Linked DNA regions of Xenopus tropicalis. The protein of the gene in region 1 binds, or shares a complex with, the protein of each later gene. Links are inferred from orthologs where the notes say so. Each region holds a gene or a part of one and is shown in the gene's direction. Other genes may lie near its edges.

The links.
Region 2: the proteins of kcnab2 (region 1) and kcna1 are in contact, whole or in part, in a crystal structure (PDB 1EXB), measured with the Rattus norvegicus proteins. The link is inferred for Xenopus tropicalis from reciprocal best matches to the Homo sapiens genes KCNAB2 and KCNA1. Residues at the interface, in NP_059000.1 of Rattus norvegicus: Met196, Tyr199, Ser200, Arg203, Glu231, Lys235, Ile236; in NP_775118.1 of Rattus norvegicus: Glu37, Met70, Phe73, Asp74, Pro75, Leu76, Asn78, Tyr80.
Region 3: the proteins of kcnab2 (region 1) and kcna3 are in contact, whole or in part, in a cryo-EM structure (PDB 7EJ2), measured with the Homo sapiens proteins. The link is inferred for Xenopus tropicalis from reciprocal best matches to the Homo sapiens genes KCNAB2 and KCNA3. Residues at the interface, in NP_001186789.1 of Homo sapiens: Met196, Tyr199, Ser200, Arg203, Glu231, His234, Lys235, Ile236; in NP_002223.3 of Homo sapiens: Pro133, Met137, Phe140, Pro142, Leu143, Asn145, Tyr147.
Region 4: the proteins of kcnab2 (region 1) and kcna2 are in contact, whole or in part, in a crystal structure (PDB 5WIE), measured with the Rattus norvegicus proteins. The link is inferred for Xenopus tropicalis from reciprocal best matches to the Homo sapiens genes KCNAB2 and KCNA2. Residues at the interface, in NP_059000.1 of Rattus norvegicus: Met193, Met196, Tyr199, Ser200, Arg203, Glu231, His234, Lys235, Ile236; in NP_037102.1 of Rattus norvegicus: Asp28, Glu33, Pro62, Met66, Phe69, Asp70, Pro71, Leu72, Arg73, Asn74, Tyr76.

Annotation. Positions count from the first base shown.
Region 1 is NC_030683.2:98,482,055-98,489,180, forward strand, and holds part of kcnab2 (voltage-gated potassium channel subunit beta-2), read left to right. Parts: intron 1-4,078; coding exon 4,079-4,164; intron 4,165-5,333; coding exon 5,334-5,454; intron 5,455-7,126.
Region 2 is NC_030679.2:19,192,394-19,200,241, reverse strand, and holds the start of kcna1 (potassium voltage-gated channel subfamily A member 1), read left to right. Parts: upstream 1-2,587; 5' UTR 2,588-3,434; intron 3,435-3,735; exon of another isoform or gene 3,736-3,738; 5' UTR 3,739-4,192; coding exon 4,193-5,662; 3' UTR 5,663-7,848. UniProt on the Homo sapiens protein: Voltage-gated potassium channel that mediates transmembrane potassium transport in excitable membranes, primarily in the brain and the central nervous system, but also in the kidney.
Region 3 is NC_030678.2:52,492,826-52,500,705, forward strand, and holds the start of kcna3 (potassium voltage-gated channel subfamily A member 3), read left to right. Parts: upstream 1-3,125; 5' UTR 3,126-3,439; coding exon 3,440-5,020; 3' UTR 5,021-6,327; intron 6,328-7,880.
Region 4 is NC_030678.2:52,549,112-52,556,806, forward strand, and holds the start of kcna2 (potassium voltage-gated channel subfamily A member 2), read left to right. Parts: upstream 1-3,681; 5' UTR 3,682-4,416; intron 4,417-5,809; 5' UTR 5,810-5,948; coding exon 5,949-7,448; 3' UTR 7,449-7,695. UniProt on the Homo sapiens protein: Voltage-gated potassium channel that mediates transmembrane potassium transport in excitable membranes, primarily in the brain and the central nervous system, but also in the cardiovascular system.

The DNA of each region.
Region 1 (7,126 bases):
TTACAACCCTTTGAATTATCATGCCCCCCCCCCCCAATGCCCTGATTTGTCTCCTATCATTACCCTAATTTTTTTAATGTGTTCTGCATGATTAATATAATTAAATAGACTGATCTGATGTCTATTCAAATACTGTACTCGTTCTGCATCATTGGTGTTTTGTTTGGTTGACTTTGTATCCTGTTTCCAAAGCACATTACCAGCCCCAGCTCATCTGTCATGTGAAGAGAATACTCAATGATGCTTTTTGATCTCCAAGAAATGCATAGAAGTCTTTTCTTGAAGAAAATAGGCACACACTCGGACACACACTCTACAGTTGGGCAAAACATATTTATTGCGTTCATAAGTCTATTAATATTGAATCACAGTTAAAATACAGATGAGAAATGTAACTGCATATGTGGAGTGCATGTAAGCTGCTTTACTCTTTGCCACCACCATATATCCAGTTATTTTTCCTTTCGGCCGTACAAGGGCCTCTTTATAGTAAACAATTACTTGTGCAAGTGACAGACCTCAGGTACCATCATATGGAGTTAAGTTCTTGATTTTGAAAGTATTTGCCCAGTTGTAGTAGCAACTTTTTCACTGTGCTTGCAACTAACCTTTCTTGTGCCCAGCAGTCTATTTCAATGAACACACTTGTATTCTACTGAGAATTTTAAGAGCCTTGTTAGCTGGTTTCTCTGAAAACGCATGCGCCTATGTAAGGCTTTGTATGGATGTTTTGCTTCTCTTTTGGCATGGATTTATAGCTTGAGACCCTTTAAACACAAAAAAGGGATGCTGCATGATATGAGTTTGGAGAAATGGTTCCCTAAAGTGTTTCTAAAATTAAAGCCAATATCTTATTCAAGATGCAGAGAAAAAATGTAATTCATGCTTAATATTCACAAAACAATTTGTTTCCTGCTTAAATCGAACTTTAATCTGACTGTTCTTGAAGAAGCACAAAGTGCATACAAATAATTACATTTTTAAAATCCTCTGATTATAGACCACCAGCTAATTCTTGTAAATTTGACGGCTCAAGTTGATACTTTTTTATTTTATTTTTTTTTGTGTAAAAGCTAATAATGGATTCTCCTGCTGAAGGAATCTTAGAAACACTTTTTCCCATACGTTTCAGTAGAGAAAAGCCTTTGCAGTATGCCTTGCAAGCACTGTAGAGTAGATTTCTGTAGTTTTCCTCCATGCACATCCATAAAACTTACAATAATCTGCATCAGATTCTTTTCCACATATATTGTGTAGTAACTGTAACGGAATTTTGTGCTTTTCGTTCCTTTTATGCACAAACAGGCATTTACTTAAAATTTTTCAGTTACTATGGAAAAACAAAAACATCAACACAACTTGTAAATTGTCCTCTAAAAGGTCACAGGCTTATATTATCAAATAACGTAGCAGGACAGACTGAACTTATTTTAAATAAACATTCTACATAACATTCCCTTCCCCCATGTAAAAGTATTATTCCTGCAGGACTTAAACATATGTAAGAAGATACCATTTGAAATATCTGCATATTCACGTTTTTCAATATCGGTTTAACTATAACCCTTCCTGTCACTAAGGAGGGCATCTTTTGGGACTGACTTCAAGATAATGCATTTGGATATATTTATCATAGCTCCTAATTGGTGTATTTTTTCATGACGCGCTTTATTGCACATTTTTTGTCCCTTTTTATACGATTTTCTAATCTACATATGCCTAAATAATATTTAATCAAGAATTGAATTCTTTTAAAAAAAAAATTCTCCTTCCATATGTATTTCTTATTGTGGCGGACACTGACCTATTTGTGGCTGTCATTGAGTTTTAAAACTTTCCTTCAGCAATAGCTCTGAGCTACATACAGTTAGCTCACCTATTTCTGTACCTTTTAATGTAAAGACTGGGTACAGCATAGCATAGCTTTATTTCTGATGTGACTTTTACTCCCTGCACATTTTAGTGTAGCCCTTATATAGACCACAGGTTAAAGAAATTAAGTTCAATATATATATATATATAATATGCGCATAGCAAAAAGAAAGGGAGATTTGCTGTTATTAAAACGAAAATCAGAGGTTTTAATCTTTTTTTTTTTTTTTTCTTCTTGTAATGTAACTGTCTGTGTAGACGGTAGCATGCCAGAGTATTTGTAGTGGTATAGTCGATGGGAACACTGGGTTATGCATTTGCCACTAAAATGGTTGCCTATAGATATTTTTGGGTGGGGTGGGATACTTTGTATTTGAATATATAGTGTTAAAAAATATTCCATACAGTTTTGAGTGGTAAATTTTGTGGTTGCATGAATACAGGCTTACAGTTGCATAATTCCATGTTTACTTTGCAAGTAAGGTTTTTGTATCAAACTCCTTGATGGTAATTACGATACACTGAGTAGCTAGTGTCTTCATTTGGCTGGAACTTTGTTACCTATCAGGCTTCTATGAAAGTCTAGTATCGCCTTATATAGTTTGGTTACGTAGCAGAATCACCACTATTTGCACACTAATATTCCAAAATTTGTCCTTGTTCCAAAAACATTTTTGTGAGTTTGATTATTTGTTCCATTTATACAGGGCAAGGGGTGTATGTTTGTGTTTTTTTATTGTAAATATTTTTTTAACTTTTTTTATTTTTCACAAGCTCATAATTTTTAACCTATTTGAGAATAGAATTTCTTCTAAAAGTGTGCAAAGCATTCTGTTGCAAATCTCTTTCAGGATATGACTAGGTCATGCATATTTTTCTGTTTTGACGCAGCTTAGAAAATAGCAAATGGTGCAAATACTGTAGTTTTACATTGCAAGGAGGTGATAATCCTGATCCTTTCGATTATCAGGAGTGGGTAGGACTTAAGCAACTAGAATCAGCCTTACAGTGTAGAACCCCCCACCAGGGATTTGAGCTTTCCTTCTTCTCTAAAAGATAACCACCATGATTTCTTGAGATGCTGTAACACACTGTGGGAACAATCTAACCATTTGCAATAGAACAGTGCAGTATTTATTTTTTACACAAATAAAACTAAATCTATGAAGGATTGAATTCTGCAGCCCCATGTTGAGATCTTTGCTGTCTGCTTTTATCAACTCACTTGACTTTATAAATTCTTTATATTATTTATTCAACCATATTGTAAATCTTCTTTTACTGCGACATATTTAAAAAGCCCATTCGGCATCAGAAAGGTCCAATTCAACATTGCTCGTTCAGCTGTCTTATATGTTTTAAGAATATATTTCTAATTCTTGGCATTTACTAAGAATTAGTGAGCATTTTTGTCAGACCTTCAGTAAATTAAACTGCATTTGTTCTGAAAGGACCTATTGTTTATTTGTGTTATTTGGCATAGTTCACATGTATGACATATGTTCAGTTTAGAAGTGGTCACGCACAGAACAACCAAGTTAACATATTTGCTTGTTTTAATATAATTTGGGACCCTAATTCTGGAGGATCAAATTTAGTGTGAGCACATGAAATGATCTCCAAAAGTTAGTTTGACTGTACTGCAATACGTTCATGAATGGGATCATTGGCTGACCTGGATGTTGGTGGTGCATTGTAATTGTCTTACAAACTGATTAAATGGATCAGGGCAATTTATATAGTCACATATGTGGCCACATTTCCCCCCAAAATCAGAAGATATGTAGTCAGGGAGTGTGAGATATTAGCTGCATACTGTACACATCATCAGACTGCATAGTTACATAATTACAGTTGACTGGCAAGGTCAGTTTCCACATTTTCATTATAAGCTTGAGAACTAAAATAGCTCATCTTAGGGATAACGATGGGTTTCTTTTTTTGCCTTTCATTTTGAAATGCTCTTAGTCATGGCTCAGCTCATTCTTGAGATTTGGAAAAGTATCATTTAAGTCTTGTTTTTCCCTCAAGTGCAATAAACAGCCCTTTCAGATAGAAGGAGATGAATTACACTGCTTGCAAGATGTCCTTGCAGCATACTTCCCCTCTTGGTGTTGTACACTTAGCATCTGCATGTTGATAATATTGTTTTCAGATTTAATTGTGTCCTTATTTTCCTGCCTTCCCTCCATTTCTGTCTTAACAGAAACCGTAAGAGCCATGACTCATGTGATTAATCAAGGAATGGCAATGTACTGGGGGACGTCACGTTGGAGCTCTATGGAAATTATGGTAAGGCTTTCCCTTCATCATTATCATCATTTATTCTTTCATCCATTACTGACAAAGATCTCACATATAGTAGCTGTATGTACAATGAATGAATATACAAGTTTTTAAAATATACTACATAACAGTCTGTGTGATTAGGCTTTTAAAGAACAGTTTTAGGCAAGAGACTTGTGCTCACAACATATAATTGGAGCAGGATGGGCCTCTTGGCGAAAAAATATACATGCTGATTATTTTAAAAGAAAGAACCAGAAATGATGATAACATAAGCAGACAAGAGCATGTTAGAGCTAAATGCTTCAAGACGTATTTCCAAGTAATTATTTTTGGAGTTGAATGAACATTTATTTACCATGCGGCAGAATAAAATATGAGCAAACAAGACATTCAGATTCACTTGTTTGATCAAAGCAAGCAATAGAAATATTTACTCAACCTTTCTTTTCTTTTACACAAAGATGTCATAGATTTTAATTTAGACTTTATCACTTGTAAGATTTCTTCCATTGGGTACACTTCACACATACATACATAAGTAGTTATTAGCTGTATGCCATGTTTATACATTAGGAAGCGATAAACACAGAGATGAAATGATGTTGTTTTGTTAGCATTTGCTTCTTTCTAGGGGAGAGATTCCAGGTACAGATGAGACACACTGTAATGCTGGGTAATTTTAAACTAGACTAATATTTTGCAGGTACAAAATTGGCAAAGTTTTTGGAATATGCCTTGAATTAACTAGATTCCAACTGGACTTACTTAACTTATTTGGCTGACAATCAAACACGTACTGGCCAAAGACTATGTTTGCCTTCTGTGTGACTTATTTCAGCTGACTGCAACTAGATTGGATCTGACCATGTATTGGACAGTGTGGGCCATCACACACATCTGGTTATTCCTCTGTCTGGTCTAGTGCAACTACAAAACTGTTCTGAACCTAGTTATAAATTAGTGCCGCTAGAATTCAACTGTTTCTGCTCAATGAACCAAAACAATGGATGGTACATGGTAGTAATAGAAACAAATGCATGAGTAATGCATAGATAGATGGTACATAGTAGTACCTCTAAAAATTCTTTGGTTTGGAAACTGCATGTTTCTTGCGCATTTATAATAGTTTGATATAGTGTCTCTAAAAGCACAATTCCATTTTTTCATTTCAGGAAGCATATTCCGTAGCTCGCCAGTTCAATCTCATTCCTCCTATATGTGAACAAGCAGAATATCATATGTTTCAAAGGGAAAAAGTAGAAGTACAACTTCCAGAGCTTTTTCACAAAATTGGTAAGATTGACCTCAGTCTTCCTTTAATTTTATATTTAAAACAGTCTGTTATTTATACTTTGGGATACAAGAACTTTATATAAAGCTGCACTGGTCATTTCATTACACCTATATATACTCCCCCCGACAGAATTTTTAAACCTGGCCAACAGATAGATATCTGTCTGATTTTTAGGGTTTTTGTACAAAAAAGAAATCCAGTATTTTTCTTGCACTTTTAAGCTTGAGCATTTCTCACAGTTATTATAAGTTTTATTAGGTTCTTTCAGGCTTATATTGAATAAATATATAAACCCCACTTATTCTGGGATGTCAACTGTAGGATTCCTTTTTTAAAAAAATCTGCAGAGGTAACATTTATTTATTTATTTTTTTTTTTTAGTTGAGCTGGTGCAAAACATCTTGAGTGCTGATAAATCTGTCCCTTAAGGTGGCCATACACGCACCGATATTATCGTACGAAACCTCGTTTCGTACGATAATCGGTGCGTGTATGGCATGTCAGCGAGCCGACCGATATCGCAGGAAGCTGCTGAAATCGGTCGGCTCGCCGATCGGCCAAGTTAGAAAATTTTGATCGGGTGCCATAGAAGGCGCCTGACCAAAATTCTCCCTTCAGAGCTGAATCGGCAGAAGGAGGTAGAAATCCTATTGTTTCTACCTCCTTACCTGCCGATTCAGCCCTGAATGGTGTGTGGCGGATCTGACGATGTTTCGTGCGACCGACGGTCGTACGAAACATCGTGAGATCACCACGTGTATGGCCAGCTTTACTCTTCTCCTCCCAGGGGGACCCTTGGGACCATTAAGGTTATTACTGTAATTAGATATCTCGAGCCCCTCTTGATGTAGCCTGCAAGTTTTCTGTGACAGATTTTTCTCTTTTGTGCATCTCTGCCATTAAAGGAGCTGGAAATTAGGGGAAAAAGTGCATAGGCAGCGTGTTACATAGTACTGTTTGCTATCATGTTATCCAGCTATTAGAAGATACTGGGTATATACAGTGGCTTGCAAAAGTATTCGGCCCCCTTAAACTTTTCCACATTTTGTCACATTACAGCCACAAACATGAATCCATTTTATTGGAATTCCACGTGAAAGACCAATACAAAGTGGTGTACAAGTGAGAAGTGGAATGAAAATCATACATGATTCCAAACATTTTTTACAAATAAATAACTGCAAAGTGGGGTGTGCGTAATTATTCAGCCCCCTTTGGTCTGAGTGCAGTCAGTTGCCCATAGACATTGCCTGATGAGTGCTAATGACTAAATAGAGTGCACCTGTGTGTAATCTAATGTCAGTACAAATATAGCTGCTCTGTGACGGCCTCAGAGGTTGTCTAAGAGAATATTGGGAGCAACAACACCATGAAGTCCAAAGAACACACCAGACAGGTCAGGGATAAAGTTACTGAGAAATTTAAAGCAGGCTTAGGCTACAAAAAGATTTCCAAAGCCTTGAACATCCCACGGAGCACTGTTCAAGTGATCATTCAGAAATGGAAGGAGTATGGCTCAACTGTAACCCTACCAAGACAAGGCCGTCCACCTAAACTCACAGGCCGAACAAGGAGATCGCTGATCAGAAATGCAGCCAAGAGGCCCATGGTGACTCTGGACGAGCTGCAGAGATCTACAGCTCAGGTGGGGGAATCTGCCCATAGGACAAC
Region 2 (7,848 bases), on another chromosome or scaffold:
TCTGGCATAGTTAAATGGTATTTTTTGCCCTGCCTCAAAAAGACACAGGAGTCAGGAGTTTTCTTTAAATGTATTTTTATTTTCTTGTAAAAGCAGCAAGGGCCAATAAAGGGGTCATTTACTAAACCTAAGCAGGGTGCAAAGTGCAAAATAGGGCAAAACATGTATTTTGCACTTTGAGCTGAGTGCCCACAAGACCAGAAGACCTGTGTCTCTCCATTGAATACAGCGCTGCTTATGTCTGACAGCACTGTATCCATGAGGGGCAGGCTGGAGTAGGCACATTGGTGTCTCCATCCCAACCCAGACAAGGTGGTGCAGGACATGGCTGGGGGGCTGGGGTTACAGGGGGGCCAGCGGGGAGCCTGCTTTCTGTAGTGACTTGTGATCATGTGCAGTGTGCAGTACCCACGATGGGAGCAAAATTGTAGATCGCCCACCATTTGCAAATTGTCTCAGAATAGCACTCTCCACAACTTACTAAAAAATGTAAAGGTGATTACAGACTGAGACCTCAGGGGCCCACCAGAAAATCTTAGACCATAGGCCCACTCTCCAAATTATTTTTCCTCCTTTCTTCCCCCAACCTCTTTATTCTCCTATTCTCTTTTATTTACATGTTAGCATCTGTTCTTCCATCTATTTTTCCACTTTGTTCCCATTTAGAAATATGGAATGACCATGAAGTAGGCCAAATGGTGAGAAGCAGGAGGGCCCACTGACACTGGGAGTTTTCCTTGTATACTGGCCAGTCCGGCACTGTGATCGCCCCCTTTGACTTGTATATTAATGACCTTGAAGTAGGCATAAAAGTACTGTTTGTGTTTTTTTCTGAAGATACTGAATTGTGCAAAACTAGCTGAAGTAACTGTAGCCCCAGTGTTTGGGGAAAATCACATGCACCCCAGCCCGATGTTGTACTAGTGCATATATGGAATATAGCTATACACCAGTAGGTTTGCAATGCAGCTCCTATATTCTGTATATGTCTTTATGTTGGCTGCTGTCTGTAAGGCAAGTCATTTAAAAGCCTTTACAAGAATTTACAGCTCACACTATGAATATGAAATAAGAGCTTCGGGGCCAAGAACTGTACTGCTATAAAGACCACCAGTGTTCCAATAATAATTGCCCTTCTGTTAGTCAGATTTTCAGAACTTGAAACATTAAGCTTGGCAGTCAGGCTTGTAGATCACAAATCCTGCAATTCTCAGCTAGGCAAAACTGCAATAATATTGGAGGGGGGGGGGGGTATGTAATCTACAGCACTCCAAGTGATGTTGTACTACAAGCCATCAGTAGGATGCTAGGAATTGAAGTATAACAACATCCACACGGCAGATTCCTGCCTGGCAATGCAAACATGAAAAGGAAACTGAAAAATTAAAATGTATATTGATGGGCTACCGGTATGTAACATGTCTGTAACAAACCCTCTATTAGCTAGAGTATAGTTAAGAGTCTATAGGACAGTGGTTCCTAAAATATGGGTCTACCCCTCCTAGTGGGGCCCAAAGCAGTGGAAAGGATTTCCTGCTCTGAAGACTGATAAGGTGAAACCCAAAGGCAAATTATTATATTCTGCCTTTGGGATGCCGGATGGGACTGTGTATAGATCTGAATGATAAAGGCCCTTTTTCTAAGTGACTGGGACTGCTTAAATATTACAGTGACTTATGATCAGGCAGCTCTGCATATTGTCCCCCTCCCTCCCTTATTCATGGGATCAGCTCATGGCATTAATGAGACTTCTTGGCACAAGGCTCTGTCCATCTCCAGACTCCCTGCATCCCTTGAGCATAGACTGCTAGTATATAGGGCTGTCACTATTATTTTCCAGCCAAGGCATACTGCATGCAGCACATCTGCAGCCTACCAGGAGGGAAGTATTGCAGAACAAGGGGGGAATGAGGCTGAGAGACAACATAGGCACTCATTGTGCTGGCATCCCCTGGCATCATCTCATGGGAGAAGACCTTCTACAGCCCAGGCAAGTGCTACCTACCTAGCTGTGCTCAGGTATGTGCTGCTGCCTTGCTGTCCATTATTCCTCTAGCCCCAGCTGATCTACTAACCTACATAGTAAGGGGATGTGAGCAGAGACAAACAAGATCAGTGTGACACTGCAGCAGGTATCCCGTCTGACTTGGGGCTGCTGGGCTCACATTAATAATAAACTGCCTTTATTCTCAGAACAGTCATTGGGTGGGAGGGTGAGCTAAGCTGGGGGCAGTATTGGCATTAAGTGGGCAGTGGGAGGATACCTGCATAGGGTATGTGGCACAGAGCACATGTAAGCAATGGTGCCCTAAACAGGAACAGTGTATGAGTGATGTAGCAATGAAATATAGACGGTCAGGCTGCTGGCACTGCTTGGTGGGTAAGGGGGGGGGCAGGAAAGGGTGATAAGGGCGATCACTCACAGCTGTTTGGTGTTGGTGGTGTTGGGGGGTGGGGGGAGTGAGCACTGGCATTAATTGTAATGAGTGGGCGTACCCTGATATTTGACAGTCCTGGAGGGGGCGTTGGTATATGCTGGTTGAAGGTGGGGGTCATGGCATGGTTATAGGGGGCTTATAGGCTGGTCTTGTAGAAAGACGGGATGCAGAAAACTTACCTGGCAATGCTGCCCTGATGCCTGAGGGTCTGTGTATAAACACAAGTCAGAGAGTATTGCCCCTCCTCTCCTTTCCCAGCAGACACACAGGGCAGCATGATGCTGGCTCTATGCATTGGAAGAGCCCATGGTTAATATAGTAGCTGGAGCTCCAGCCTATGGAGGGGGATCTGCCTGCATTGCGTCTCACTATCAGATCCCAACAGAGGGAGGCTGCTGCTCTCTGCTCATTCCCCTCAGCTCTGGGTACTAGCAATGGCCGTGTTGCTGCCCAGGGAGGCTGATCTGTCCCCTGCCTGGCTGCACCAAACAGCTCTCAGGTTTCTGCTGAGCCTGCAACGTCAATAAATGGCCAGAGTTTGCTTTTTACTCTTAATGTATTCAGCCTTCCCAATCCCACACTCATCACTGCTCCAGAGGGGGTTCTGACTTCAGCTCCTGGAATGCAGCTGCTCTGCAGCTCCCTGGGATCGGGCAGCCCCACTCCCTGCATTTCCCTGCCCGCTGCACCCCGCCAAGAGGATGGAATCGGCGCACCGTGCCCTATTATCCCTCTGAGCATCAGCAGCATCAGCAACATCATCATCATCATCAGTAGCAGCAGCAGCAGCAGCAGCTCATTAACTCGAATCGGTCCCCATAGCATGCCATATGAATATTTCAGCAGGACTTAATGCTCGCTCTCCTGTAAACCGATCTCGGTGTTAAAAGGGGCGCAAAAAAGTGGGTGTTCTGCATGCGCCTTCCCGATGCCGCAAGGCTTGACGCATCACTCTCAGCTCCCTCAGCGCTTTCATCCTGCTCCGCGGCACGGAAGGTAAGCATCCCATTAGGTTCTGCCTCTATTCACCCCCCCGCACCCCCCATGCAATCCATGCACTGCAGCAAAGTGATTTCTCCAGCCTGTAAGTGTGTGTGTGAGCGCAAAGTTATCCCAGTGCTGGAATGCGCACAGTGCTTTGCCTGGAGGAGAACTTGCACCCATCTGTAAGTGTTGCCTTGCATGATATCTTATTCATGACACACAGGGAGCTCTTATTTATTTTTCCTATTTTTCTCTTTTTTCCCCTGTCCACTCTCTTTCTTTTTTTTTTTTTTTTTTTTTTATTTCCCTGCAGCAGTCTCCTACCGCACTGGCGTGTTCCACTGGTTCGCCTAACACTGACAACAAGCAGTAGGGGAAGGCAAGAGAAAAAGTGCTGAGTTGGCAAAGACCCTGTAGCTTCCATCCTACAGCACTGCATGGCTGGGGGACTGTGACAGAGCAGCAATGATACATTCTCACAGTAGGACTGACCAGCAGGAGTGAAGGAATACAAATTAGATACGAAAAGTGCTGGTGGCTGGGGTCTGTGGCAAGATTTCTGCAAGGCAAGGGGGGGGGGACTGGCTGCATTGGGTCTTAAGATAGTCAATCTCCTCCCAACGTCAACTAGAGACCAGCTGTACCACCAAGGATTTGTTGTTTTGGGGGGGTGGGCTTTAAAACAGGGGGTTTCTCTAAGAAGAAGGGGTGCTGCAGTAGCAAAGTGATTACCTTTACCAGCTCCTCCTTCCCCCCTCCCCTCTGGAAAAATGACCGTGATAGCAGGGGAGAATATGGACGAGACATCAGTCTTGCCTGGTCACCCTCAGGACAGCTACCATCCAGACCAAGATGACCACGAATGCTGTGAGAGGGTGGTCATAAATGTGGCCGGGCTGCGCTTTGAGACACAGCTTAAGACTCTCTCTCAGTTCCCCAACACTCTGCTAGGGAACCCCAAAAAACGGATGCGATACTTTGACCCCCTGAGGAATGAGTACTTCTTTGATCGCAACCGTCCAAGTTTTGATGCCATTTTATATTACTATCAGTCTGGGGGTAGACTCCGGAGACCTGTCAATGTTCCACTGGACATGTTCTCAGAGGAAATTAAGTTTTATGAGTTAGGTGAAGAAGCCATGGAGAAATTTAGAGAGGATGAGGGTTTCATAAGAGAGGAAGAACGCCCTCTGCCAGAAAAAGAGTTCCAACGCCAGGTGTGGCTCTTGTTTGAGTACCCCGAAAGTTCTGGTCCAGCTAGGATCATTGCCATAGTGTCAGTGATGGTTATCCTTATCTCAATTGTTATTTTCTGCTTGGAGACTTTACCAGAGTTAAAGGATGAGCGGATCTTTAGTCGCCGGGTGAACAACAGCACAGTTTTCTACAAGTCCAACATCTTCACGGATCCATTCTTTGTGGTGGAGACCCTCTGCATCATCTGGTTCTCTTTTGAGTTGGTTGTGAGGTTCTTTGCTTGTCCCAGCAAACCGGAGTTCTTCAAGAACATCATGAACTTCATTGACATTGTGGCCATCATCCCTTACTTTATCACCTTGGGAACTGAAATGGCAGAGCAAGAAGGTCCCCAAAAAGGGGAGCAGGCAACATCTTTGGCAATCCTGAGGGTCATCAGACTGGTAAGAGTGTTTAGAATCTTCAAACTCTCCAGGCATTCTAAGGGCCTCCAGATTTTGGGACAGACCTTGAAAGCTAGCATGAGAGAATTAGGGTTGCTAATTTTTTTTCTATTCATTGGGGTCATCTTATTCTCCAGTGCAGTGTACTTTGCTGAAGCTGAAGAGGATGAATCTCATTTTGCAAGTATCCCTGATGCTTTCTGGTGGGCGGTGGTATCCATGACCACTGTGGGCTATGGTGACATGTACCCTGTGACAATTGGAGGCAAAATCGTGGGCTCCTTGTGTGCCATCGCTGGTGTGCTGACAATTGCCCTGCCTGTACCTGTCATTGTGTCCAACTTCAACTACTTCTACCACCGAGAAACTGAAGGGGAGGAACAGGCTCAGTTACTCCATGTTAGCACCCCCAATTTAGCCTCTGACAGTGATTTGAGTCGACGCAGCTCTTCCACAATGAGCAAATCTGAGTACATGGAGATTGAAGAGGATCTAAATAATAGCATAGATAACTTTAGAGAGGCAAATATCAGAACTGGCAACTGCACCATAGCCAATCAGAACTGTGTTAACAAAAGCAAGCTGCTTACAGATGTGTAGAGCACACTCCCATTACAGAATGATCATGACCACTTCCTTCTTTGCAGGGCCACCATCAACTTAACCTTTAAAAATACTGAGGCCTAGTACAAGTTAGGGGAGCAGCCCACCCCCCAATACATGACTTAAAAAAACATGCTGATTTGATATTCAGGGCTTCCCATTTTACTGGGCCCCACCTACCCACCTTCCCTTCTCCAAACCCAATGGTGGCCCTTCTTTCTGTAGATGCTTTAAACAAATAGTCTTGAATGCTTAATTTTGCCATCGTTAATGCTTTGTTGCATTGCGAGTTTACACTCAGTGAACACAAAAGCTTTCAGGATTTGTTAAAAAAAAAAAAGTCATTTATTTTTAAATGGAATTTTCTTTTTCTAAACTGGTTCGTGGGAAATACACCCCACTCCACATCCAGTTATAATAGGGAAAGAATTAAATGCAACTTGAACAGCAAGGTAAAAAAAAAAAAAAAAAAATACAATAAAAAAAACCCCCTTTGCCTGTTAATCCTAAATTCCAACCAATCATCACAGAGAAACTAAAAGTTAACAGATATGCATGGAGTTCTATTAGATGTCAGCCAACCACGCACTGCATTCAAGGAAGTACTTCTCAATCAAAGGGTTAAGATGAAGTATGCAAACACTTGCTGTTTTTTTTTCTTTTTGTTATTGATCTGAAGAAGTGTATAACTTTCCAGTGAATGACTATGCACTTAACGATGACCTACAGATCCATAAAAGCACCTTATGAACCAATTCATGACTTTGCTACATCTTAAAAGTAGAGGGACTTAAAATTTAAATACTTAAAAAAACACAAAGGACAAACATCTGCCTTGCTGCTAAATACTTTTTTTTTTTTTTTTTTTTTAAAAAGCAGATGGATTTGACTTAAATGTATTTTTTTTTCACAACTTGGATGCAAAATCTTTTTGTTTTTGTCATAAGCATGATTTTTTCGAATTTGATACCAACTGTATTTATTTGGTAATCTTGCATGCCTGAAATGTGAAACCTCATACGATAGGGGGTGGATAAGTTTTCTTTAACCCTTTTGCCGCCAGAAAAAAAGGGGCTGCGGCCTGACCGCAAAAGGCAATGAGGGGGAAGGGGGGGGGGGGGGGCGTCAGCCTCCTGTCCCAACGCAAAGCATTGACATACATCATGTTTATTTATGATTTTCTTTTTAATTTGCATTCACCTAAAGTGCATTCCTAATTTATTGAAAACCTTTTTAATTAGTAATTTACAGTACTGTATGTAAATGCATATGACTATGTTAGACGAACTGGAACAATAACTTTTTTGAAGATCAAGCATGTTTAAATACCCAGCATTATGGGGCCTATTCGACTAAGGTGTAACCAGAAGTAATGCATGATATCAGTATAAAAAGATCTTCATGTTTTGGGGAGCCAGGTGGAATTAAAGGGCCTACTGATTTTCCCGCAGTAATCCTCAGGGAAATATGTTATCCACTTTCCAGGCATAGTTCTAAAGTATATAAATAGACACTTATAAATATATATATATAAGTAATTAAACTTAAAAAGGGAACCGTATGGCCTCTATATAAGTCAACTGAACAGCACATAGTGATACCTAAGACAATGTATAGGTTTACTGAACATGGTGCAGATGCATGATTAGGGTTGCAGTATCAGAATGTAATGATCCCTTAACAATATGCATCAAAAAAACTGCAGACCATCTGTTTTGCATCCATTATTTGAAATCCATAGAGTTTTGCACTGCTCTAGACTTTGCTAAAAAAAAAACAACAAAAAACAAAAAAAAAAACAAAAAAAAAAACAAAAACAAAGGAAAAAGACAAAAATAAAATAATAATCTGGAGAGCAGAAGTGATTTAGATAGTTGCTAGTGCCTTTATCGTTTCATCGCAGAATTGCTGAAAGTGCCTCCGTGAACTGAGTTAAAATGTATAGGAATTTAATAAGAAAGGGGCAAGTGGGTTTATATCATAACAAATTCCCAATGGGTGCTCAGAACTTCCTGCGTATCAAATAACGTGTAGATTAATAATGAGACTTCTGGAACACATCTTTATAGCTGAAATTTGTATTGTGGAGGTCCTAAATTAACATCCCTTCTATATTGATCATTTACCGGATAGAGACACTAATGCATTCACTCCGAGGAAAGTTTTGCACTTAATTCCCTAGT
Region 3 (7,880 bases), on another chromosome or scaffold:
AGCCTCAAAGCTGTAAGAGTGGCAGCAGTTTAAATTTTCCCATTTCCAAGTCAATGGATAAAATTTTATTGGCTGTTGTTGGCCTCTCCAACTTTGGGGTCATCCAACAAAGTCGCTGTTTCATTCGGGGTGACCCCATGATTATGTTATTCAAGTTTGGGGAGTGTAGCTTCAAAGCTGTAAGTGTGGCAGCAGTTTGAATATCTTCCCTGTCAAAGTCAAAGGGAAAATTGGGGGGTTCGGAGCGGCGCCACAAAACAACTGGGGGCGCAATCGCTTAGAAAAGCACAAGCAACCTGCTACACTATAGGGCAAAGAAGTGTGGAGAGTTTGGGTGTTGTACCCCTAAAACTGTAGAAGGAGTAGCATTAAGAAAATGGGGGGCGCAAAGAAGTGGAAGAATAAGCCAAGAATATGTCAAAGAACAGTATGTTGGGTTTTTCAACCCAACACAATAAAAATCAGTTGACTTGCCTCATATCTTCTGGTCTTGCCCCCAGATACAGACTTTCTGGGATGAGATTCTAACACTCATACGGCAGGTTACATCTCAGACGCTTGATAAAGATATCCTAATCCTCCTTCTGGGGAAACCTTCCAAACAATTCTCAAAATCTACACAAAAACTTGTCAACCAGATACTCTCAGCCACCTGCATCTCCATAGCAGCTAAATGGAATTCCCATGCATTCCCTCTATCCTAGAAATAAACGGAAAAATCAATAATACCATGCAATTTGAATACAGACTGGCCCGTATACAAAACAAAATACCCAGTATGTTAAAATCTGGTCTCCCTGGGATCTTCTCTCCAACATGACCTAACTACAAAACAGGGCACTTAGATGCAGTGAATACCAGTCAACCCCAGTTTTCTCTTTGTACCTTTTCCCCCTATTTCTCCCCTCCACCTGTATCTATCAGTCTCTAAAACCTGGTATGCACAGTACAACACAAATCTGATGGCACAACCAGTCAGGCATAAACCCTATTTGTGTAGAATGTGTAGACTAACAAAAGATAACTATATGAACCGAACCATACTGTTACTATGTTGATTTTTATAAGAACGACTGTATAAGCTGTACATTTACTGTTTGCTTTCTTTTTGAAAAAATAAAATTATAAGTTACAACAAAAAAAAATCAGTTAGGCAGCCCCCAGTGATTATAATAACTTACCTGATACCCCGGGTGGGTGCTTATGAGTAGCAGAAAACTGCAACAGCCTGGCGTACTTCTGTAAGTGCTCTGTGCAGTGATCTTCTTCTATAGGTTCTTCTTGTGCAACTTTTTAGAAAATGTATGTAGCATGATAGGGTTGCTCCTAACAAGCATCAAATGAAACATCATGGTATTGACTTTTAAATAAATGTGCTAATGTATATTTTTTTCCACTTCATAAAATCTGCTCTGATATTATTGTTGGGTTGTTACTGAGCACAGAAGGACACAAATAGGTTCCTGGGCCTAATTCAGTCATAACCTGGCTTAATGTGGGCATACTGTACACAGTCAGTAAGTCAGTAAGGTTTAAGAATCCTGTTGGATAAGGAGTGCATCAGGGTGTTGATGTGGTCCTGTCCCAAGATCTTGCTGTGCATGGCCAGTTTAAGTTTGTGATTCAACAAGTGTTTTCATTCATCTTACCTGCCTATGTGGGTAGTGGGTTGGCTCCTACCAGAAACTCTGAAAACCACTACCAAAGAGAATCCAGTTTTGAGCTGAAATTCGCTGTTTTGCTAGCTGTACTATAATTTTACTATCTTGCCCAGTTGTACTACTTGATGGGGGGAGGCAGGCCAGCTTTCCCCACCCAAAATCATCTTCCGCAATGCCTGGGCCAGACTATGCCATCAAATGTTTAGGGGAAGACTGTGCCTTGAAATGCTTGGGGACACAGTATGTCAAGAAGGAACAGCGAATAGACAGTGTGTATATCATAAACTGCTGGAGTACCTAATGCTTCATTACTCCGGATGATTACAAAGTAGGCAAAACCAAAATTTGTGCCAAATCATGTCCCTCTATTTGTGTTTCTGTGTCCCTTTACTTTTTTATATTTAAGGTCCCCATACACAGGCCGATTCTAGCTGCTGATATCAGTCCCTTAAAACGATTCGGCAGTTAATCGGCCCATGTATGGGCACTACCGACGGTCCTGTCCGACCGATATCTGGCCTGAAATCGGCCAGATATTGATCGGGCAGGTTAAAAAATCTAGTCGGATCGGGGACCGCATTGGCTCATCCGCAATCCCCAGGGCCAAACGATTGAATTAGCCTGGATTCTCCCGATATTGCCCACCCGTAGGTGGGGGATATCGGGAGAAGATCCACTCGCTTGGCGATGTCTGAAGGTGTATGGGGACCTTTACACTCAACCAAAGTTCTGTCAAGTTTAAAGGCTAGTGCACACAACAAATGGTTTGCATAAAGAATTTTGCATTTATGCTGACCTGAGCACATTTCAAAATGTGTGCACAAAAAAATGTTTGCGCAAATATCTGAAAAGGAATTAGGAGCATTGCACTCAACCACAACATAGCCAATCAAGATATCTCCCACAATAAATGTGCAAGCTATAGCTCTTTCAGGTATTCTGCCCCTCTCATCTGTTGCCTGGTGTGTGCCCATTGCCCCTTCCTGCCCCCCAAATTAAAGATAGTGCCACTTAAATAAGGGCCAATTCCCCCATCACTGTTTTTAAATACATCCTGAACAGATTCTTGCAGCATTTAGTTTATAAGGATATCATGTTATAAATAGCATTTAACTTCTTTCTGAAGACTTTTTTTTAAGTGAAAACTATAAGCCCCTGTAGATAGAACACCCTGTGTCTCAACCCTTTCTCTTGTAAGCTCTTCACCTCTTGTATCGGTTATTGCTTGCTTTATATGTTACTCTGTAAGTCCAATGTATGAAACCCACTTATTGTACAGCGCTGCGGAATATGTTGGTGCTTTATAAATAAATGTTAATAAATAATAATAGAATGATGACAGAAAAGAGACTGTCCTTATGCTTATCCAGCCATAGAGTTGGGCATAGGAATAGAATACAGATATGCTGATGGATGGGTAGGTTTAGGCAGACAGAGCTACAAGAGCCCCTTTCCTCACACACACAATCCTTGTCTGCCTCCTTCCCTCAGGTGGTAGCTGCCCGCTCTCTGTGGGCGGGAAGGAATTGGCGGGAAAGGAGGGGTCGGAGGAGCAAGGGATGGCAGAAGGAGACCTATATATCTCTGTGTGCGCTCCATCAGCTAGATTCCATAGTCTGGGAGGTAAAAAGGAGGAATCTCCGCAAATGCTTTTAATATACAAGACGCAACAAGATTCTACCAGAGAGAGCTGGGAGGGGAGCCTGCGGCTCATGTAGTGGGCTGAAGGAGGAGGCCACCGCGCTTCTCCTACCCGCCCAACCCCTCATCTCACCTTTATGGACGAGCACCTCAGTCTCCTGCATTCGCCTCCTCCATCCTCCACCAGACACAGAACCAACTCGAACATAGTTAACCCAGGCTACACGGACTTGGAGCAGGAGATCATGACTGTGGTGGCGTGTGATAACATCCTGGAGGAGGCGGCTGCCCTGCCGGGGCACCACTCTAGCGAAGCCTACGAGCAAGAGGACCATGAGTGCTGTGAGAGGGTAGTGATCAATATATCCGGCCTTCGCTTTGAGACCCAGCTGAAGACTTTAGCCCAGTTTCCCGACACCTTGCTCGGCGACCCCAAGAAAAGGATGCGATACTTCGATCCCCTGCGGAACGAATACTTTTTTGACAGGAACCGCCCCAGTTTCGATGCCATCCTTTACTACTACCAGTCGGGCGGCAGGATCAGGAGACCGGTGAACGTTCCCATAGACATTTTCTCAGAAGAGATCCGCTTCTACGAGCTGGGGGAAGAAGCCATGGAGAAGTTCAGAGAAGATGAGGGCTTTATCAGGGAAGAGGAGCGGCCGCTTCCCCCCAATGAATTTCAGAGGCAGGTATGGCTTCTTTTCGAGTACCCTGAGAGCTCCGGACCTGCCAGGGGTATCGCCATCGTCTCCGTCCTGGTGATCCTTATTTCCATTGTCATCTTCTGCCTGGAAACGCTGCCCGAGTTCCGAGACGACAAGGAATACAGCGGAACGGCTCTGCCCCCTGGCAATGGCACCGGCCCGTACATCAGCAGCTCCTTCACCGACCCGTTCTTCGTGGTGGAGACCCTGTGTATCATATGGTTTTCATTCGAGCTGCTGGTCAGGTTCTTCGCTTGCCCGAGCAAAGCCACTTTCTGTAAGAACATTATGAACATTATAGACATAGTGGCCATCATCCCTTACTTTATCACCCTGGGGACTGAGCTGGCTGAGCGCCAAGGAAACGGGCAGCAGGCGATGTCGCTGGCAATCCTCCGAGTCATTCGGTTGGTCAGAGTCTTTCGGATCTTCAAGCTTTCCAGGCATTCCAAAGGGCTGCAGATCCTGGGGCAGACACTGAAGGCCAGCATGAGGGAACTGGGGCTGCTCATCTTCTTCCTTTTTATCGGAGTCATCTTATTCTCCAGCGCAGTCTACTTCGCAGAGGCTGATGACCCTTCTTCTGGGTTTAATAGCATCCCGGACGCCTTTTGGTGGGCGGTGGTCACCATGACTACTGTGGGATACGGTGATATGCATCCTGTCACCATTGGGGGAAAGATTGTGGGCTCTCTGTGTGCCATTGCCGGGGTGTTAACAATCGCCCTGCCGGTGCCTGTCATCGTCTCTAACTTCAACTATTTCTACCATCGGGAGACGGAGGGAGAGGAGCAGGCTCAGTACCTGCACGTAGGGAGCTGCCAGCACCTGTCTTCCAATGAGGATCTGAAGAAGGCACGGAGCAACTCCTCACTGAGCAAATCAGAGTATATGGTCATAGAGGAAGGGGTCAGCCCGGGGCCCTTTAAACAGCCGGCCTTCAAAACGGGCAACTGCACAACAAACAACCCAAACTGTGTGAATATCAAGAAGATCTTTACCGATGTGTAACTGCGAGACACTTGTTGCCAAGTGAATACATCAACAGCAACTAGAAAAGTCACTGTAGCATCGGCATCAGCGTGTTCCTCTCATTGTTTCTTTTCTGAGCGCTTCCACCTAAATACACGGTGCCGGCAGCCTGGTGTGGGGCTGGTGTGGGGCTGGTGTGGGGCTGGTGAGCGACAGCCAGCGATTCAGCTGCTGTTTCGGGGAGCTGCCATCTATCGCCTTTATTTTAACATTCTGCAAGAAAGCGGGAGCGGGTTGCTAAGTCTTACATTTTCTCTCAATTAAGTGCTGCTGCTTAGCTCTTAAATATCAGTGCATAAGGAACACCACCTTATTGCTAATTACTTCTCAGGCATCCTTCTGAGGGCAATATGATTCAATTTAACCATTCTTATTTGGCTCCTGCTTACAATGTTTTTTTTTTTAAAAAAAGATGAAGTCCTTAATCCCTGCAGAAAAATCGCATTGTTCTGTTCTATTTTTTTATGACAGAACAGCACAGATGTTTCTGCTTTAATGTATAAGTAGATCAACACTCAGTAAAAAATTTGTTTAAAGCTGCTTTTACATATTATAAAGTTGCAGTGAAACTGCATTTTTATGTCTATGATAGTGCCAAGCAGCATAACAAAATTCAGAATGTCCTTAGATTATGTTATGTGTAACAGGTCTACATGCCAGAAGATTAAACTGCTGGACTTGCTTTTCATCGGAAGTTACTAATTCTGACCCCAGTGATGCAGTTTCCATAGCAACAAAGGTTTCCTGGGAAACCCTATTCGTTGTCATGGTATCTCTTTAGTTCCCATAGCAACTATCCAGATGGCTCCAACTTACAGATATGCTGCTGCTGTTGGGAAAATGCTCAGAGAAAGTTAATCCCAGAGAGCTTTGCAAAATAGGTATGGAAATAAGAACGTCACCTGTGATGAAGGAAATGAATAATCATTTCTAGCCTCTTGTTGAAAAGTATAAAGTAATCTTCCAAAGAATTAACTGTGAGACAAAACAAATATGACTGTAATAAATCTACAAGGAAGGGTCTGCTGCAAAGGGTAAATCAAACTGAGTAAAATGATCACATAAAAATGACTTGAAAGAAAATAAGCAGTAGCATCTTAGAAAAAAGCACTTTATACATTTGAAAACACATCAGCACTTAACTATGTAAGGGAAGTGAACCAGCCTTATCAGGAAAAACAGACCATGGCAATTAGGGAATAACTGAAAGGCAACCTCAACTGGAAAATGCCACCCTTGTCTTATTCAACCCTTTCACCAAAGGAAGTGGTGCAACATAAAGGAAGGTGAGCCTTGTCAACATTTTGTTTGTGCTTTTATAAATACTAAATATGGCCCTAATATCTGAGGAATGGTTAGTATAATTGATTATCATGATAATCATTTTCTGCTGATTGCTCTGGTTACATAAAAATGACATAGGTTACACGTTTTGTCAAATATAGCTAAACAGATCTGGACATTTGCCCACATTATATCCCGCAGAACAAATGTAATATCCACAGTGCATTTAAATATTTTCCTTTTGAGAGCAGCTGCTTAAAATAATATGTCTTCTCTCATTTATTATCAGTAATAAATTATTTTATTCTTCAATAAGAACAGACACATTTATGCAGTGCTTTATACAGACTGTTCATTATTAATTTAAAATTGGTACCTTTCCCAATAGATCTCACAATCTAAGTCCATGTCACATTTACACATACACGGTTGGGTCAGTTTCACGTGAAAACAAATAATTGGCCTGTATGGCATTTAGAATAAGAGAGGAAACCAGAGTACCAGGGGAAATGCATGCAGACACAGGAAGAACATGCAGCCTCCTTGCATTGTGTCCAGATTGGAAACAAATTTAGGACTCCTGTTGCTACAAACCAGCAATGCTAACCACAGTAACCATCACAGTATGCTGATGATGAGAAAAGTTATGATGTATGGTATTATATAGAAAATCACAAATGTACATATATACTTTATATCCAAAAACACTGAAGAGTTTGTGAAACATAGAAAAACCCCACGCATTTAACTGGTTGTATCAGAATTATGTGGGGGATATAGCAGTTGGTTCCTATATTAAGCCATTAATGTAGTGTTTTTGCAGGACATTTCTTCACTAAGTGCTTTCAAAACTTTTTATTAGGTTTCAATAAATTCAGTTGGTGGGCTGCACTATTTTCAGCATGATTGCATTTTATTAAACTTATACTGACACATTCCTATAATTGATGGGAATGTATCTGCATCACTACTAAGTGAGGTCTATTTTTATTAATATTATTATTTTTTTAAAATATTTCCTAATCCACCAGAAGCCCGGCATTATTTACTGCTGCTGACAGCACTGGGCAGCGGGATCCTTCCTTAGCCTAAAGCAGCAGGTTATTTTATATGTAGACATCCTTTAGCCATTGCCCTTTTCTTCAGGGGTTTGTGTACAGGTACATATAGAGGAAAATATTTATTTTACTTTTACTCTACCTTTGCTGGTTGTCATACTCTTGCAGCAGAATTTGGCAGAAGAGTTGAGGGGAACCAATGATCTACTGGCTCAGCATATTCAAGATACAGTTTCTGTAATGCACACAGGCCAGTCCAATGCATCAGGAGAGGGAGGGGGGTGTCATTCCTTTAATGCCTAAGGGAAGTTATCCATAAATACAGAATTGTGCTGGTATACACATGTAAACAGTGCTCCAGCCTACTAAAGGCCTACTAAAAAGTCAAGTGTAAGTGACAGAACAGCCTCTCCACTAAGCAAATGAAAGCCTGGCTGGAGTGTTGGGAGCTGTAACTAATGCTGGCCTGGGGCATGGGATAGGAGGGATCTTGAGAA
Region 4 (7,695 bases), on another chromosome or scaffold:
AAGTGAGATAAATATAAAATGGAATAGATAAATAAATATATGTTATACAGGTATAGGACCCGTTATCCAGAATACTTGGGACCAAGGGTATTCTGGATAAGGGGTCTTTCTGCAATTTGGAACTCCATACCTTAAGTCTACTAAAAAATCAATAAAACATTAATTACACCAAATAGGATTGTTTTGCATTCAATACGATTATTTATATCTTAGTTGGGATCAAGTACAAGGTACTGTTTTATTTCTACAGAGAAAAAGGAAATCAATTTTAAAATTCTGAATTATTTGATTAAAATGGAGTCTATGGGAGACAGGCTTTCCGTAATTCGGAGCTTTCTGGATAATGGGTTTCCTGATAAGGGATCCCGTACCTGTACCATAAAATCCAGAAATACAGTAAGTGCAAATAGTATTTAAGCTTCAGAATAAATAGGTTTAATTCTTACTCCGTAATCTAAACCCATTGTGATCTAGCAGATCTGCTATGTAACTTTTGCCATTTATCCTTTCTTTAGACGGAATAACCACTTTCATTGCTTCACAGCAGCTTGTTAGTATAAACTATAGTAGTGTTTCTGAATCTAACACACTGGTTCTCAGTGCAGGGCAACATTACATTATATTTTAATTATTTTAAAAAACGTTCATTTTTAATGCCAAGAGGCACTTTTGTGTAAGGTTTTGTAATGAACAAACAGGCTCTCAGTGCAACAAGAGGAGAAGTGTTAGGAGTGTTTTGGATGCAAGTACCTTCAATGAATAGTGTCAATACACGCATGTCCTTGTGTCCATCTGAGCGAAGGCACACTTGTGGTTGTAAATAAGATCTAATACCTGGTAACTGATGTTAGCTAATTTAGCATATAGATTTAGCATATATAGATTCAATTTAAATCAAATAATTCACAGTTAAAAATGATTCCCTTTTTCTCTGTAATAATAAAACAGTACCTTGTACTTGATCCCAACTAAGATACAATTGATCCTTATTGGAGGCAGAACAATCCTATTGGGTTTATTTAATGTTTAGATTTTTTTTAAGGTCTTAAGGTATGTAGATCCAAATTACAGAAAGAGGCCTGTTTATAAGAAACCCCAGGTCCCATACCTGTATAAATGTTTTTAGCAGTTATAAGGTGTGGTGCTTGTATACTACAGAGAGATCCCTTATTTGAAAAACTTCAGGTGCCAAGCAATCTGGATAATACATCCCATACCTGCATTGTATTTATATTAAAACCATAACATGATCTGATTCCTTCCTTCAATCATAATACAGGTATAGGACCCCTTATCTGGAAACCCATTATCCAGAAAGTTCAGAATTACGGAAAGGCCATCTCCCATAGACTCCATTATAAGCAAATAATTCTAATTTTTAAAAATGATTTCCTTTTTCTCTGTAATAATAAAACAGTACCTTGTACTTGATCCCAACTAAGATATAATTAATCCTTATTAAAGGCAAAACAATCCTATCAAGTTTATTTAACATTTATATGATTTTCTACTAGATTTAAAGTGTGGAGATCTAAATTATGGAAAGACCCCTTATCCGGATAACCCCAGGTCCCGAGCATTCTACATAACAGGTCCTATACCTGTACATGTATATTCAGGATATACTGCATAACATTATCTGGTGGGAAGGTGAAAGCTATGTTTGATGTCGCCAGGCTGCTGTCAGGTAGACAAGCGATGCCACAGTGCAGTAAGGTCTTTATGTATGCACTGCATGCCTTACTGCAGAACCAATTGTAAGCTTCGCCTTTCCCCCATTAAGTGGAGTTTACCACAAACTGGGAAAATGGATGCTTCACATACCGAATGAAAAGGGTAAATCAGATATGGCAATTTACTCATTGCATGCAGTATTTTAACCTGCCGTAGCCTATAAAATATAGATACATAACAGCATGAGGAATGTGGAATGCAAATTGCCTGCAGTGTGGCCCATTGTCATCAACACTGTGCATGCTGCTGAGATGAAATGAGGTTTATTTGCATGGATGGAGACAAGCTATGGTTTCACGGCTGTTATACTGTAGATGTGAGATGCATGGAGCCTTTAACCCGGGGCACAGAGCAGCAGGGGAAGGAACAAAGACGAACAGGGGCTGCACAAGAGATGCTTCATTCAGAGGACAGCATCACAATGCTGCTTAATTATTTAGGAACACTTAAAATGTGAGTATATATTTTGGTTAAACTAAATCCTACGCTCAAGATTTAGCCCTAGCCTTTTTTTTTTTTAAGTCATGAAACAACAAGCTTACATATCTAGCTGGTTCTACAGTTTTGAAAGATCTAACACTCAACCTAATATCAGCCCTCCCCATTGGCTGATATTAGGCATATAGAAATGGTTTATTTCAGTAGGGGGTATATTAAATATTGATGATTCTGGTTTTTACTTGCTATTTTTATTGATGATGCTAATTCTGCATGTCTGGATATGTGATTCATGTAATGGAGTTTGTAGGGAGGGCAGAATATGCTTCCAAAAAAGACATTTCAGCCTCCTGTGAGAGGAGCTGCACAAGGAATGTTCTATTTCTATTCTGATGTAATGGAAAGGGAGGTAAGTGGAGGAGAAATGGGTTTCCAGCATTCACATTATTTAAGGAGAATTTCCACTGGGAACAAACATATAAGTAGGAAAAGCATTCTTTTATTGCACAATAATGAAATAAAGGATCAATTCAGAAATTAAATCGTAGATATTAAAAACAGCAGACAAGAAGCCCCTACCTGACCCATTTTTTATTGTATAATCCCTGCTGAAATCAGGGCTGTTTATGTAGGTGTTGTACAGACAGGGATTGGGTTTAACACCTGCGAGCCTGAATATGTGTGTGCGCGGCACATTTAAGATTAAGCCTGTTGTGAACTGTATTGCAGATCAATGCTTAGCAGGCTTTCCCAGGAATCCCTGTAGCTACATGCTAAATGGAAGAGGGTGAATTTGGGATTTCCCTATTCTAACGTCAGTTCCATGACCTCAGCTGTATGAAGGGGAAAAAAACACACACACAATAGTGTTTACTGCACGGGAGGTTTCTATGGTTAAAATGTCTCTGCTGTAGTCGTGATGCTGTTCCTGTTGGCACTTGTTTCGCCAAGGGTGAATAATGCAGTAGATGGAATATTAGATTTGCTAAGATTCTTTTATAATGGATCATATGTCGGCTTGCATTCTGCTGTCAGTAAAGGTATCCAATTGATTCAAGCCTTGATAATCGGGCAGGTCATTTGTCATGCAGAATACACTTGAATACACATTTCATTTGTCTCCTGTGACCTGGTGGGCAGGAGGCACAAGCCTGTTTCATGCAAATAGGGTGGAGATAAACCTCATCCCCAAACAACAGAATGGGTGTTGGGCTTGCTATATGACACTGGCTTAGCATTACACCATGGAAACTTGAGAGCATCTCTGATTTAACTGTTGTCTATGGGAATTTGAGTTTTAACCTTTTTAACGCCAGAAAGAACCTAAAGAGGACTTTCCCCTTCACGCAAGAGAAAGCTGTCCATCTATAACCTGAGCTTAAATTAAATATTGTGTCAGTGCAGCACAGCCACAGGATGTCTTTTACTGTCTATTTCAAAATATTATACAAAGTAAATATATATATATACAAATATATATATATATATATATATATATTTGTGTATGTGTGTGTGTGTGTCTTTTATAAAACTAGTATTTGCAATTACAATTATAGCAAGCTCTTTTACATGATATTCTGTCTGCATGGTGTCTACATTTATATTTTCCTTTCTTATTGGGCTGGCATTGCCCCACCTTTTAAACCTTTAGGCATCAAACACTGTATAGCTTTCCTTCTACAATGCCCTAACCCTCTGTTTTATCTCAGTAGCTTTCCCTGTTATGTGGGATGTGCTCTGAATGCTGCCTCTTGCTTTGTTGCAGTGCAGAATAGTGAGGCATCATAAAACAGGCTGGCAATGGGGGAGGCTGGGGGAGGCTGTGACTGCTGCATCTGGAAATTGGGTCTCTGCAGATGTTTCATGATGTACCAGCCTTACCTAGCTCCTGTTTTTTCTCTTTCTTACCAGGCAACGTCACACCTCCTGAGGACACCAAAGCAGTCTTTTTTTTTTTTTTTTTTTTTGCTGAGCTTAGCATCTACCATCTAGCATATTATATGCTTTAAACAGAAGCATATCTGTTTACAAGTAAGCCTGTGAGCCCAATCCTGCCCTTCCAGTAGCATGGTTGTGTCATCCCAAGGACACCTCTCATTTTAGAAAAATTGCCTTTTATTTTTTTTATGTTTAGGACAAACAATTTATAGGATGAAATATACCCTGTTTTTGTGTCTTGCATTTCCCGGAGCACTGGAGCAGCTTTGTCTTGTTACTAAGAAACCTCGAGGTTTGCTTCCGAAGGTAATTCATTTGTATTCAATTGTTATTGCATCTTTGTTTTTTGCATGAATTCCCTTCTGCTATTCTGCAGCATTTCTTGTGTCCGTAGGCGCAGCTGCTTTTTAGGGACCTTGATCAATTTTATTTGGGCACAAAGATTTGGCATTTGTTGCTGTGATTAATCACTAGGAGACTTGTTACAACCACAGTACAGCATAATGATGTGTTATATCTGTTAGTTAACACTGCCCTGTCTCTTATTTTATGAAGTATAGATGATAAGATTAGCATGATAGGGATAATAGTATCACAGGTATGGGACCCATTATCCATTATCCCATTATCCCATTATTATTATGCTTGGGACCTGGGGTTTTCTGGATAAGGGGTCTTTACGTAATTTGGACCCCCATACCTTAAAAAATCATAATTAAACACAAAAGGATTGTTTCGCCTCTAATGGGGATAAATTATAGAAAGGAGAAAGGAACTCGTTTTTAAAAATCTGAATTATTTGATTACAATGGAGTCTATAGGAGATGGCCTTCCCGTAATTTGGAGCTTTCTGGATACAGGTTTTCCTGATAATGGATCCTAAACCTGTATAACATTGTCACTGGCTTATGCTCATACTTAATATGGAGATTGGTAGTGTAATGTATTAGTAGTGCAATTAATATATTAACAATTTACAAAACCCAGAGAACGTTTTCTTTTTCTCTGGCATAGACATTATTCCTAGAGTGAATAACCACAAATATTAACCTAAAATCTTCTCTTTGGATGATAATGCCTTCTAGACATTTCATTTCAGACAGGCACTGTATTCACTAAGTAAGCTTTCATTTAATTGTTCCTTTGTCCTTGGATTGTTGGAATGCTGATACTTGTATCCCTTGAGAGACTGAATGCAATTGGAAGTAGATAAGAAAACTGATATCAGGATGAGGGAACAAATACTGTAAAAGTATGATCTTAAACATGACTAATAATAGTAACATAAGCACATACATACACATGTGCAGTATCTATTTCTTTACTGCTCTGTCTGTCTGTCTATCTGTCTGTCTGTCTATCTGTCTGTCTGTCTATCTATCTATCTATCTATCTATCTATCTATCATCTATCTATCTATCTATCTATCTATCTATCTATCATATATCTATCTATCTATCTATCATCTGCTATTTAGCTATAGCTTTTGTTTTCTTTTTATCTAACAACTTGTCAGTCTATCATCAATCCATCCATCTATCTGTTGAATTTATGAAATATATGTTAGGGATTTCCTTGTGCAGTTATTCATTCAAGACCATGTCATATAAAGTATTAAATTGTTATATAAATATTATAGCCCACAGAACACCTTTAAAACATACCCCCTACAAAATAATAATTTTCTTTTCTTTTTTAGGTGAGAAGCTGTATACTTCTCATCTCTTCCAGAAACCTTTTACGATCTTGACTGCACATATTTCCAGAGTGCTTGAGTGCAATCCACTGCCAACAGTCAGCCAAAAATACCAAGCAAAGCTTTTATCTGGCCCCTAGCTATGACCGTTGCAACTGGAGATCCGACAGATGAAACATCGGCTTTGCCAGGTCACCCGCAGGACAGTTATGACCCTGAACCAGACCATGAGTGTTGCGAAAGAGTGGTTATTAATATTTCAGGACTGCGGTTTGAGACTCAGCTGAAAACCTTGTCTCAGTTCCCTGAAACTTTACTAGGGGATCCTAAAAAAAGGATGAGATACTTTGATCCCTTGAGGAATGAATATTTCTTTGACAGAAACAGGCCAAGTTTTGATGCTATCTTATACTATTACCAGTCTGGTGGCAGATTAAGGAGACCAGTAAATGTGCCCTTGGATATATTTTCAGAAGAAATACGGTTCTATGAACTTGGTGAAGAAGCCATGGAAATCTTCCGGGAAGATGAAGGATTTATTAAAGAGGAAGAACGCCCTTTACCAGACAATGAATATCAAAAACAAGTGTGGCTATTGTTTGAGTACCCTGAGAGCTCAGGACCCGCCAGGATTATAGCTATCATATCAGTTATGGTTATATTAATATCAATTGTCAGCTTTTGCCTTGAAACTTTACCAGTTTTTAGAGATGAAAATGAAGACATGCATGGAAGTGGAGTCAATTACTACCCGTACTCCAATAGCACAGTTCGATATCAAAAGTCAAATACTTTTACAGATCCTTTCTTTATTGTGGAGACTCTGTGCATCATCTGGTTTTCATTTGAGTTTCTGGTTCGTTTCTTTGCCTGCCCTAGTAAAGCTGGCTTTTTTACCAATATCATGAACATCATTGATATAGTTGCAATCATCCCTTACTTTATTACACTAGGCACAGAGTTGGCAGAAAAAACGGAAGATGGGCAACAGGGCCAACAAGCAATGTCTTTAGCAATTCTTAGAGTTATCAGACTGGTTAGAGTATTTAGGATCTTTAAACTCTCTAGACATTCAAAGGGTCTACAAATCTTGGGGCAGACTCTGAAAGCCAGCATGAGGGAATTGGGACTTCTAATATTTTTTCTCTTTATTGGTGTTATTCTCTTTTCTAGTGCAGTGTATTTTGCTGAAGCTGATGAGAGAGATTCTCAGTTTCCCAGCATCCCAGATGCCTTCTGGTGGGCTGTAGTTTCCATGACAACAGTAGGCTATGGAGACATGGTCCCTACAACAATAGGTGGCAAAATAGTAGGCTCTCTGTGTGCAATTGCAGGCGTATTAACCATTGCCTTACCTGTCCCTGTCATAGTGTCCAACTTCAATTACTTCTATCATAGAGAGACAGAGGGGGAGGAGCAAGCACAATATCTGCAAGTAACCAGCTGTCCAAAGATCCCTTCATCCCCTGACCTTCAAAAGAGCAGAAGTGCCTCCACTCTAAGTAAATCGGACTACATGGAAATTCAAGAAGGGGTAAATCATAGCAATGAAGATTTTAGAGAGAAGAACTTAAAAACTGCAAATTGCACATTAGGAAACACAAATTATGTTAATATAACCAAAATGCTAACTGATGTTTAAGTGACTTTTTCACCACAAATGTGTCTGGGACAGTTTCAGAGTCTGTGTAACGCAATAATACGCTAGGTCTTATTTCTAGGTGTGCTAGTTCTGCATGGGAAGCAATATCTGTGTAAGTGATGTCTTACTGCATTCCTAACTTGACTATAACTCACAGAATATCTATTGGCAGCATTACTGCGGTTACATTGTTTCCCAAAGACGAGCACGTTAGATGTAATTTGAGGTCACTGTCAAAAACTCATGC